3 linked regions of the Callithrix jacchus genome follow. The protein of the gene in region 3 binds, or shares a complex with, the protein of the main gene of each other region. Links are inferred from orthologs where the notes say so. Each region holds a gene or a part of one and is shown on either strand. Other genes may lie near its edges.

What was found.
Region 1: ARID1B (region 3) and SMARCD3 share a complex: the UniProt entries of both Homo sapiens proteins name them as parts of the neuron-specific chromatin remodeling complex. The link is inferred for Callithrix jacchus from reciprocal best matches to the Homo sapiens genes ARID1B and SMARCD3.
Region 2: ARID1B (region 3) and ACTL6B share a complex: the UniProt entries of both Homo sapiens proteins name them as parts of the neuron-specific chromatin remodeling complex. The link is inferred for Callithrix jacchus from reciprocal best matches to the Homo sapiens genes ARID1B and ACTL6B.

Annotation. Positions count from the first base shown.
Region 1 is NC_133512.1:96,971,935-96,975,579, reverse strand, and holds the end of SMARCD3 (SWI/SNF-related matrix-associated actin-dependent regulator of chromatin subfamily D member 3), read right to left. Parts: coding exon 3,638-3,645; intron 3,385-3,637; coding exon 3,289-3,384; intron 3,131-3,288; coding exon 3,029-3,130; intron 2,821-3,028; coding exon 2,659-2,820; intron 1,716-2,658; coding exon 1,618-1,715; intron 1,440-1,617; coding exon 1,304-1,439; intron 933-1,303; coding exon 810-932; intron 689-809; coding exon 587-688; intron 349-586; coding exon 295-348; 3' UTR 165-294; downstream 1-164. UniProt on the Homo sapiens protein: Involved in transcriptional activation and repression of select genes by chromatin remodeling (alteration of DNA-nucleosome topology).
Region 2 is NC_133503.1:13,071,988-13,075,732, forward strand, and holds the start of ACTL6B (actin-like protein 6B), read left to right. Parts: upstream 1-1,094; 5' UTR 1,095-1,176; coding exon 1,177-1,201; intron 1,202-1,651; coding exon 1,652-1,728; intron 1,729-1,944; coding exon 1,945-2,110; intron 2,111-2,409; coding exon 2,410-2,510; intron 2,511-3,745. UniProt on the Homo sapiens protein: Involved in transcriptional activation and repression of select genes by chromatin remodeling (alteration of DNA-nucleosome topology).
Region 3 is NC_133505.1:163,604,730-163,608,474, reverse strand, and holds the start of ARID1B (AT-rich interactive domain-containing protein 1B), read right to left. Parts: upstream 2,238-3,745; 5' UTR 1,935-2,237; coding exon 168-1,934; intron 1-167. UniProt on the Homo sapiens protein: Involved in transcriptional activation and repression of select genes by chromatin remodeling (alteration of DNA-nucleosome topology).

The sequences.
Region 1 (3,645 bases), on a different chromosome or scaffold from region 3:
AATTATTAAACGTGTCTTCTGCTAAACTGTTTTTAGATCTAGGGAAAATTGAGTAAAGAGAATACAAGGGAAGGGTGTGGGGAGTTTGTCCAGAGGGACCCACTGCCTCCCCACCCACCTTTCCTCCCCCTTGCCTCCCCAGTTTCCAATGACCACATGGCTGCTGTCAGATGAATAACTTTTAATCCAGCCCCGCACCCCAAAGCGGCAGAGGAGTGATGCCAGAGCCTGGGGTGGAGCGCTGGAGCTCTGAGTGCGGCCAGAAGGTCCTTCGTGCTGCTTGTTCCCGGGCTCCTAGGTGTTGCGCACAACCAGCGACTGCTCCAGCTCCTGCCTGCGCTGCTGGATCTTTAGAGGAAGTGAGAGCAGGAGCAGGTGTCAGTGTTCCTGGTGAGTGATCAGGACCACCCCACCACCTGACACTGCCCACCCTGGAAGAGCATCTGGGAGCAGGGGTCTGCTGCATGGTCAGGCATTGTGGTGAAGCTTTACTGTGGGGAGCTAAGAGGGCTGCCCACAAGCTGAACAGGGAGGTTTCTCTTGGAGTTGAGGAGGGGGAAGCCTCAGGGCAAGGGACCCTCCATACCTTGCAGTAGAAGTAGCGACTGACGGCCTCCTGGGACCAGGGCTGGTGGTAGAACTCAGCCCGGCGCTCCTCTTCAGGGTTGCCAGCTACATCTGTCATCACCTGGGAGGGGGCATGGGGTCAGCCCTGAGCTCCAGATCCCCTCACCTGCCCTGGAGTACATTTACTGTCTCTCCTGATGTGCTTGTCTTCTACTCCAGTACTCCCTGAGTCTCCCTCTCACCTTGAGGTCCCGGCTCTGGGAGCGGAGCAGATCTTGGACATAGCCTTTGGGGTCTCTGGAGAAGCTTAGCATGAAGTCCCTCTGGATCTTGAGCTGATTTATGGACTCAATCGTCTCATGGATCTGCAGGTAGAAAGATAGATGCTTTCCACCTGGCTGTGGTGATGTGGGAGAGGGAGGGGAAAAGGAGGTGGGTGGGAAGGGGAGGGAGAGGGGTTTTCTTTGGTGAAAGACAACACCTCAGAGCCCCTGATTCCTCTGAAGTCCCAGGGGAGGAGGGGATGGGCAGAACTAAATTTGGAATAAGGTTCAACTCCAAGTAGCATGGAAGGGCCATGTGTACCCCACTGGCCCACACTCTGGTCGCTTCTTTTTCTTTTCCTTTTTTTTATTTAACCCAGACTGCTCATCTGCAACCACACCCTGGTCTCAGAAAAGTCTGCTTTATCATCTCTGGGTTAATGTCCCATTCCAGCTCTGGGCTTGGGCCCCACCTTACTGTCCAGAGCACTGATCTCCTGCTGGTTGGCTGTGGACAGGAGGAAGCTGCTCATCTGCCCCTTTAATGGCTCCTCCACCTCCACATCAATGTCATAGCATGCCGTCTTCTTCTGGTCTGAAGGGTCCACACTGCCAGGGAAGTGCAGCCCTCAGTGTTCATGATGCCCCTATAGAGGCCCTAGGGCCCCGGGGTGGGGGCAGCTCCAACAGGGAGGGAGAAAATACGGGAGTGGGAGGAGAGGGAGGGGCAGGGAAGGCAGGAATGAGATCATTCCCTGGTCTGAGAAGCAAGCTGGGGCCACCTCACCTGATGACATGGTTGATGACAATTGGGTCAGGGGGCAGTAGCAGGGCTGTGAGGCGCTGGGGAATCTCAGAAAACTTCAGCCGGGGACAATCAAAAATCTAGCAAGACAGTTGCAGGGAGAGATCACTCTTGGAAGAGATCATCACGAAGTTGTAGATCCTTTGGTTGTAGAAAGGCCTCAAGAAGCTGAGAGTGAGTCTGATTCCTCAGTGCACAGGGGGATGGGATTGGGGTGGGCTGGTCTGGTGGTGGAGCCACCAGCACGGCTGACAGGGCCTGGGGTGGGTCAGTGTGGGGCAGGTTGAGAGTGCAGGCCCTGGGCCAGTCTATGTATCGGTCCTGCCTCTCCCATCACTATGCAGCCATGAGCAAGCTGACACCTCAGGCCTCTGTCTTCATCTCTAGAGTGGGGGTGAAAATAATATCTATCTCAGGGCTGTCGTGAGAAGTCGGTGCTAATGCACATAAAGTGCTTGGAACAATGCCTGGCACATGGTAAGTGCCCAATAAATATCAGCTGCTATTTTTACTCCTCAGGTTTATCTGCCGTATTTATTTTAAAATGCATTAATAAGAATACTCTCTTTTGGTGGAATTTCGCTAAGTCCCTTTTGCAGCAATTTGATCTTCCCTAACTGCCCAGGAGAGTAGACGGGGCAGGTATTATCACTCCACTTCAAAGATAAGGAAACAAGTCACTTACCCAGAGTCCAGACTCAGGACTAGAACCTGGGAATCCAAACTCCAGGTGCCAAGAATATTACATTCCAGAAAGCAGTTGGCTTTGTAGGGTTCCAGGTCTTCCTAACTTGGGGGGGCGGGGGCGGGGGCTAAAATGGATTGGCTGCAGCACAGAGCTAATCCACAGTAGGACCTGAACTAGAATCCTGGTCGGTCTCTTGGCTCCAAGACCATAACTCTGTACTGCTTCTGCTACTCAGGAAACTAGAAGGGAGGGTGGTAGTTACCTTGGTAGAGGTACTTCCCCTGCTGGAGAACTCTGCCTGATCCCCAGGCCCCTGGGTTCAGGAGGGAGGTTACCTGCTGGAAATACTTGTCCCCATTGATGTATTCCTTGTCATGGGAGTCCTGCAGCCTGTTGGTCTTCACATACTGCCACAGGGCCTGGACGATGGCTGAGCGGCTCTGTGTGTGCAACCCCAGCAGCCGTGCTAGACGGGGATCCAGTTTGAACTGGGGAGGCTGGGAAAAGGGGACTGTGAAAGTTAGATCAAAGGGAGAGAATGGAAGGAGCCCAGGGCCAGGCCATTCAGGACTAGGGGGATGCGTTGACTGAGGGAAAGACAGGGTTGGGAGGGGAAGGAGGTCTCTCAAGATGGACCATGTTGGGACCTAGGCCTGCCCTAAGGGCCTCATGTGACATGTGCGGGGCAGCATGGCAGATGCAGACCTGGTAGTCCAGCATGAGGAGCAGCGTGCAGCGCACACTCAGGTCCCCAGGCCGTTTCACCTGGAAGCCGTCCGTCTCCTGGGTTGTGGGTGTCCGATGCCACTGTCCAGGAGAGAAGAGCTGGGTCACCCAAAGGCCCATCTGGAGCGGTGGGGCCCAGGACTCTAGGGTGGTCCGTGATCCAAATCTGGGCTGGTTCTTCAGGGATTCTGGCCTGTGGGAGGGTGGCAGTTCAAGGGCAGAGGGGATCTTGGTCTCACCTCAACGAGGTGGTTATCAGGGCCATAAAGATCTTTGTCCAGCTCAATGACCAAACTCTTGAAGAAAGAAGAGAACTTCCGCTTCTGTTTGCTGGGCTGTGGGAGAGAAACAGGGACCGTGGGTGCAGAAAAGGGACTGGGGGCAGAAGAAGGCCAAGTTGGCAGCAAACAGGGCAGCGGGCTTAGATGAAATCCTCTGCACCCGAATGTTTCTAGGCCTGCCCTGCCCTGCCCTGCCCTGCCCTGGACCGGCCTGACTCTCTAGCCCTTAGTGCAGACACCTAGTTCTGTTCTCAGTGCAGCCCAGGCCCACCCTAGGACACCTGGAGAGACCTGCGCCGGGACGTACATCATCCA
Region 2 (3,745 bases), on a different chromosome or scaffold from region 3:
ACAACATAGTGAGGGTCCGTGTCTTAAAAAAAAAAAAAAAAAAAGGCTGGGCACGGTGGCTCACTCCTGTAATCCCAGCACTTTGGGAGGCCAAGGTCGGCGAATCACGAGGTCAGGAGATCAAGACCATCCTGGCTAACACGGTGAAACCCCGTGTCTACTAAAAATACAAAAAATTAGCACGCGCCTGTAGTCCCAGCTACTTAGGAGGCCGAGACAGGAGAATCACGTGAACACCCAGGAGGCAGAGGTTGCAGTGAGCTGAGATCGCGCCACTGCACTCCAGCCTGGGCGACACAGCAGGAGTCCGTGTCAAAAAAAAAAAGGAAAAAACAGGGAGAGATGGAGACACACTCCTTCTGGTCTCTCTCTCAATCTTCCCTTCCCTCCCTCTCTCAGTGATTCCATTTAGGCCCGGGATTGGCAAAACCGGGCTCACAGCAGCCTGAAGATAGATGACCCTTCTGGGTACTGGAGTTCTCTCCGCAACCCTGCTTTAAAAGGTAAGGGAATAGAGAAGGGACGAGATGGCTCATGCCTATAATTCCAGCACTTTGAGAGGCTGAGGTAGGAGGATTGCTTGAGGCCAGGAGTTAGAGATCAACCTGGGCAACACAGCAAGACCCCATCTCTACAATATATATATATATATATATATATTTTTTTTTTTTTTTTAATTAGCCAGGTGTGCTGGCACCTGCCTGTAATCCCAGCTACTTGGGAGGCTGAAGAAGATCGTTTGAGCTCAGGAGTACGAGACCAGCCTGGGCGAAATAACAAGACCCCATCTCTACCAAAAGAATTAAAATAATAAAACTAAAAAGCAAGGGGGTAAGGACCTCATCAGTCGTCCTACAGAGTCTTGGTCTCCTCCTCTTTCCTGCTCTCTCCTCTCTGCCACGCGTTCCTTAGGAACGGTTAAGTCCCTGCTGGGAGCCCCCTGCCCCATCTCCTCCCGGCCGCCTAACCGGGGACGTCTTTCCCTTTAAAGCAGCGGCCCCCGTCCGGGTCATTGTCTCGCCTGGCAGCCAATCGGCGGCGCCGTTGGGGGCGGGGGATCCGGCTTCCCGATTGGCCGCCTCGCGCCCCGCCCCGCCCGGGATCCCGGGAGCTGTCCGGCCGCCTCGGTGCTGATCCCGCCGCCGCCCACGGGCCGCGAGCCGCGCAGAGGGCACTATGAGCGGCGGCGTCTACGGCGGAGGTGAGCGAGCCTTGGGCCCCGGGCTCCCGCAGCCTTGCGTTCCGAACCCGCGTCATCGATCCGAGCTCTGGGCACCCCGGGGCCTGTCACCTCCGTGCACGAATGGGTCCGGTCCCAGGCTTGGGTCTCCCGCCACTCCTACGCTCGGTCCTCCCTGCACGCCTCGCGCGCACCGGGCCCAACCTCTCTACCTTGCAACCCACCTCCAACTGGTCCCCGGCCCCTTCCTTTCCCGTCTGGAGGGCGACCTGAGCAAGTCCACTGGGCAAGCAGGGACCTGGCGGTGTGATGCCCCTGCCCCCAGTCCCAGGACCTCGGACTCCAGTCCCACCTGCCCCAGACTGGTGATGAAAGTAGTGAGACTGTGGCTCTGCCCTGACTTCCTCTCGGAGCTACCTAGCGGGAGAGAGTTCGGGGGAAGTCCCCTTACAGGCCTGTTTCCCCGCACAGATGAGGTGGGGGCGCTGGTCTTTGACATTGGCTCCTTCTCAGTCCGAGCTGGGTACGCTGGGGAGGACTGCCCCAAGGTGAGCCTTTCAGTCTCCTCCCCAAATTCTAGGGGCTCTGAACCCTTCTTCGGGCTTTCCAGTGACCCAGGGCTCTCCCAGATCGCCCAGAAGCTCTGCTGAGCGGGAATGCGGGAATAAACCCAGGGGCGGGCTGAGGACCCCGCTGTGGGGCTGGACAGGGGCAAGAAGGTGACCCCTCTCCCTGCCGATCCTCCCCCAACCCTTCCCCACCAGGCTGACTTCCCCACCACGGTGGGGCTGCTGGCCGCGGAGGAGGGGGGCGGGCTGGAGCTGGAGGGGGACAAAGAGAAGAAAGGGAAGATCTTTCACATCGACACCAATGCCCTGCACGTGCCTCGGGATGGAGCAGAGGTCATGTCGCCCCTGAAGAATGGCATGAGTAAGGGGCCCTCACCCATCACCTCCTGACACAGACAGGGAGCTCACTCTCCATGATCTGGGACATAGCAGCCCCAACTCCCCAAGGATTCTTCCTTGCAGTCCCAGGGTTCTTCTCACTGCCTCCCTGAGCTGCCTGGTTCCCATCCCAGGGGCCCATCAGGTTTCTGGGAAGGAGGGTGTTCCCCTGGAGCTGGACTCACTGACCCTCCTTTGGACTTGGCCTTCCTCCCTCCTTTTCCTCCTGTCCCTGACCCTTGCCTGCCCTCTTGCGTCTCTGTGCTGCTCTTCTGGCCCCAGTTGAGGATTGGGAGTGCTTCCGAGCCATCCTGGATCACACCTACAGCAAACATGTCAAGTCTGAGCCAAACCTGCACCCAGTGCTCATGTCCGAGGCTCCGGTGAGTGCCTACTCCATACCTCCACGTCCGGCCCTGATCTCCACCGAACCTCATTCCCACCATCCACCTCTCCTCTCCCCTCAAGCCACCACTCTCAGCCACTTGACCTCCCTTTTCCATCTTCACCACTTTCTTTCCTTCCTAGCTGTCTCCAGCCCTCCTGCTCTTTTCCTGCTCTATCTTACTCTGCTGCCCTTCTCCGTCTCCAAGTCCTTTTTAAATTTTTAATCTTTTGAGACAGAGTCTCACTCTGTTGCCCAGGCTGGAGTGCAATCACGAGATCTCAGCCTGTGTCTCCTGGGTTCAAGGAATTATCTTGCCTAAACCTGCCAAGTGGCTGGGATTACTGGCACCCGCCACCATGCCTAATTTTTGTATTTTTACAAAAAATTCGCCAGGTGTGATGGCGGGCGCCGGTAGACATTTTTTAAATGTTCTTACCTGCCTCCTTATATTTCCCCCTGTATAAAAGCAACTGTTTTTCTCCCTTTTGAGCTAATTTTTGGAGTATTTTCTTTCATATCTCTAATATCACACTTAAATTGCAGCCTGTGGAGTTTTTTGTTTTAGGTATTATCTATGAATTTTCCACTTTAGAAAATGGTCGCTTAGCTCTCTTTTCCTCCCCAGCCTATACCACACAGATTTCTCATCACCCACCTTTAAGTACAGTGGCTTCTGTTGTTGTGGTTGTTTGGGGTTGTGTTGTTTGTTTTTGAGACAGGCTCTTACTTTGTCACACAGGCTGGAGTGCAGCAGCACGATTCTGCAGCCTTTACCTCCTCAGCTCAAGTGACCCTCTCATTTCAGCCTCCGGAGAAGCTGGAACTACAGACATGAGCCACCACGCCCAGCTGATTTTTACATTTTTTGTAGAGGCAGGGTTTCACCATGTTGTCCAGGCTGGTCTGGAATTTCTGGGTCTTGAATTCAAGCAACCTGCCTGCCTCAGCCTCCCAAATTGCTGAGATTACAGGTGAGATCCACCGCATCCAGACCAGTTGTATTTTAGACTTTAAAAGAAATCAGGGCCAGGCGCGGTGGCTCAAGCCTGTAATCCCAGCACTTCGGGAGGCCGAGGCGGGTGGATCACGAGGTCAAGAGATCAAGACCATCCTGGTTAACATGGTGAAACCCCATCTCTTCTAAAAATACAAAAAAAAAAAATTAGCTGGGCATGGTGGCACATGCCTGTAATCCCAGCTACTCAGGAGGCTGAGGCAGGAGAATTGCCT
Region 3 (3,745 bases):
GCGGTGGGAGGCGGCCGCCCGTCAAGATGGCTTTGGGCGCCGCGCCCCCGCCGCCCCCGCCACCCCCGCGGGAAGACGGGGAAAAGTACGCGGCAAAGAAAGAAACTCAGGCTCGCGGCGCGGCGAGGCCGCCGGGCGGAAGCAGGCCCGGCCGGCGCGGGGGTTACCTGGGATCTGCCCATGGTCGGTCCGGGGGTGCCGGGACTCATCGCCGGGTGACTCCTTTGTTGCGCGGCCGCCCAGGCCGGGCTGGCAGCGGCGTACTGGGCGCCCATGTCCTTGCCCAAGCCCATGCCCGCGGCCGCCTGCTGGCCGCCCGCCGCCGCCCCCGCCGCCGCCTGGGACTGGGGCTGCGACGGCGGCGGCGGCGGCGCGCTGGGGCTGCTGTACTCGGGGTAGCTGCCGCCGTAGCTCCGCATCATGGGGCTGGGCGAGGTGAGCAGCTGGTTGAGGGTCGGGGTGGCCCCCGACGGGTGCTGGTTCTGCCCGGCGAAGCGCTGGAAGCCCCCCGCCGCCGAGCCGGCGGCCGCCTTGCTGAGGCTCGCGGCCCCGCCGCCCCCGGGGCCCATCATCATGCCGCCGCCCTGCTGCCGGGGGGAGCTCAGTACCCCGTACCCCGCGGACGAGCCCCCATAGCCGCCGCCGCCGCCGCCTCCTGCTGCTGCTGCCGCCGCCGCGGCCGCCGCCGCCACAGCTCCCGCTCCTGCTCCTCCTGCTCCTGCTCCTGCTCCTCCTCCTCCTCCTCCTCCTCCGCTGCCTCCTCCTCCTCCGCCGCCGCCGCCGCCGCCGCCCGCGCCGGGCCGGCTGTAGCCCGGATAATGGTTGCACTGGCTGTTGGGGTACCCTTCGTGGGAGTTCTGCAGGGGGTCCATGCTGCCGGGGGCCCCGGCGGCGGCGGAGGCGGAGTGCATCATCCCCATCCCGGGGCTTTGTTGTCCGCCATGTTGATCAAAGCAAGGCCCAGCGCGGCCGCCGGGGCCGCCGCTCGCAGGGGCAGCGCTGCCATAGTAATTATTAAACTCCGGGACGGCCGCCGGGCCGCCGCCGCCCCCGGGCACGGCGACCGGCGGCTGCTGCGCGCCCAGGGCGCCCACGCCCGGGTGCTCGTAGCGGCCGCCCGCCGGCTCCCCCATCTTGGGCGGCGCGTCGTCCTCGTCGCCCGGCTTGCTCAGCAGCGGCGGGCCCGGGGGGTCGGCCTGGCCGCCCGCGGCACTGTCCTTGGCGCCTCCATGTTGCGGCTGCTCCATGTCGGGGCCGGGCTGAGGCGCGCCGCCGCCCGCGCCGCCCAGGCTGTTGTTGTTGGAAATGGGATGTTGCTGCTGCTGCTGCTGCTGTTGCTGCTGCTGCTGCTGCTGGAACTGGTTTAGCTGCTGCTGTAGTGCGTGGTGGTGGTGGAGGTGGTGGGCATGGTGGTGATGGTGGTGGGCATGGTGGTGGTGGTGGTGCTGCTGGTGGGGCGGCGCGGCGGGGGCTTCGCCAACGGTTTTCAGTTTGTGGTTGGGGAGCAGCCCCGTCTCCATGGCCGAGCCCGGGCCCGACGAGGAGGAAGAGGACGCCGCCGCCGCCGCGGAGGAGGAGGAGGACAGCGCGGCGGCGCTTCCACCCTCCTTGAGAGCCGCCTCGGAGCCGCCGCTCTTGGCGCTGTGGGTGCCGGCGGCGGCGGCCGCGGTGCCCGCATTATGGGCCATGTTGAGTTCGTGACGGGGGAGCAGGGGGTGGTGGTGCACACTGTTCAGGCCGCCGCCGCTGTCGCCGCCGCCCCCCGGCATGGGTCCCGGTGCCGCCGCCGCCGCCGCGCCGCGCGCCCCCGCCTCCAGGTCCCGGGCCCCGGGCGCCGGCCGCGGCCCGGGGGGCGCCCGCCGCTCGCCGCTGCCTGCCCGCGCCCGCGCCCGCGCCGCCGCCGCCGCCGCCGCCGCTGCTGCCCGCGCGGCCATGATCGCCGCGGCGTGGCGAGGCCGGGCGGGGGGTGGGGGGAGACAATAACCCCCACTTTTCAGGCCGCGGCCCCTCCTGTGCGCATCCACGCGGCCCGCCGGGAAGCCGCGACCCCCTCCCCCTCCTCAGGCCCCGCCGGAGCGCCGGGCCGGGCACGCCTTACGCTCTGGGCCTGCTCCTGCTGTGTGCTTTCATGGTGAAAGTTTTTAGTTCAGGTTTAAATGAAACTTTTCTCTTTTCCTCTCTAACCCGGATATGGGTAAATACACGACTGGCTGAGCCTATCGGGCCCAGCATGGCATGAGAAGAAGCGGGCGAGCTCCAGCAACTATTATCCACTTCGCTCGCATTACTCCCGCGCACTCGCAAAACGCGGACTGGACTCGTCCCCGGGCTGCAGTCGCCGCCGCCCGCCCGCCCCGGCTCAGCCTCGCGGGGCCCAGCCGGGCTGGGACTAAGGCTGGGGCCAGGGCCGGGGCGGCTCGGCGGCGGTCCGGAGCGCGGCGGCGTGGGGCGGCCGGAACCTGCACTTTCCCCCCGGGCCGCTGTCTCCTTGCCAACCGGGCGTTCGCGTGTTTGTTTTCACGTCTAAAAGGAACGATACAAAGGTGGAAAACGAGTCTGACGAGCAGACAAAAGAGGGAGAAGGGCCGGAGAACAAAGTTGTCTGTTGGCCTCAGAGGTTACAAGGAGCCGACGGAGAAAGAAAATATTTAGGCAATCTGTGCAAAAGCACGGTCTCTCCCAGGAGTTATGTAATTCTCAGAACGTTTGCCTCTGCCTTGATTTCGGGCCATCGGCGTAATTCCCACAACTTCTTCCAACTGCAGAATTAGTAAAGATTTGAAATGAAAGTTAGCCCCGGTCAGAGAGCCCTGTGCTTTGTACACAGCAGGTACTTAATAAATGTTTATCACTCGTTCCAAAGAGAATGTTTACATAACTCTTTCTGAAGACACCTTAAACACGTATTAGGCTTGTCAAGGAAAACTCCAAGTATTCCCAAAGGAGCATTTTTCTTATTATGTGCACTTAGATGTCCTCTCTCGAGTATGTACAGAGGTGTTTTCTGCTCCAACTTCCACAGGAAAATTTAACTCTTGGTGCCAGAACAGCGACAGCTATGGGTTAGCTTGTATCTTCATAAATCTGCATGACACCTTTCATCCTATTTCAGAGCTGCATGTACACAGTTAACCCTCTTGATATACATTCAAAGAAATGTGAAACAAAACAAAAATATTATAAACATTATATTGAATAAATGTAACCAATAATAATGTAAAACAGTCTAATCCTAAAGTAGAAACGTTCCATACTTTGTTCTCTTAAAAACTGGTGTCTATCATTTTACAATGTTTTAAACGTTTGCATTGTTACTAGTGTTTTAAATATTTGCATTGTTATTAATCATTTAGTAACATTTTGAAAAGCAAGACTTCTTAATCTTAGGCAATGGCCCACTTGTACCAGTGCGGACTCAGTTTTCACGGAGAGAAAGCATTTAAAAGCTGGCAGAAACAATATTTAAGGTTTTGTTAGGGCATAGTTTTCCAAAATTATTTCATTCTTCAGCTTTCCATAAAAACTATTTTGATTCATTTCCACTGCAGTGGTTATTTGTTTGACCAAGTGTAAATATGTTACATGACTAAATAGAAAAGGAGAGACGGGAAAACTGGTGACTAATTGGGCTGGGGGGGGAGGGAATCAGGTGCACACCCAAGGGTCATTACAGAGTGTAGAAACAAGAAATTGCAATTCTACGCAAACAACTGGAAAACGGGGTATATCATAGTGTGTTAGAGAG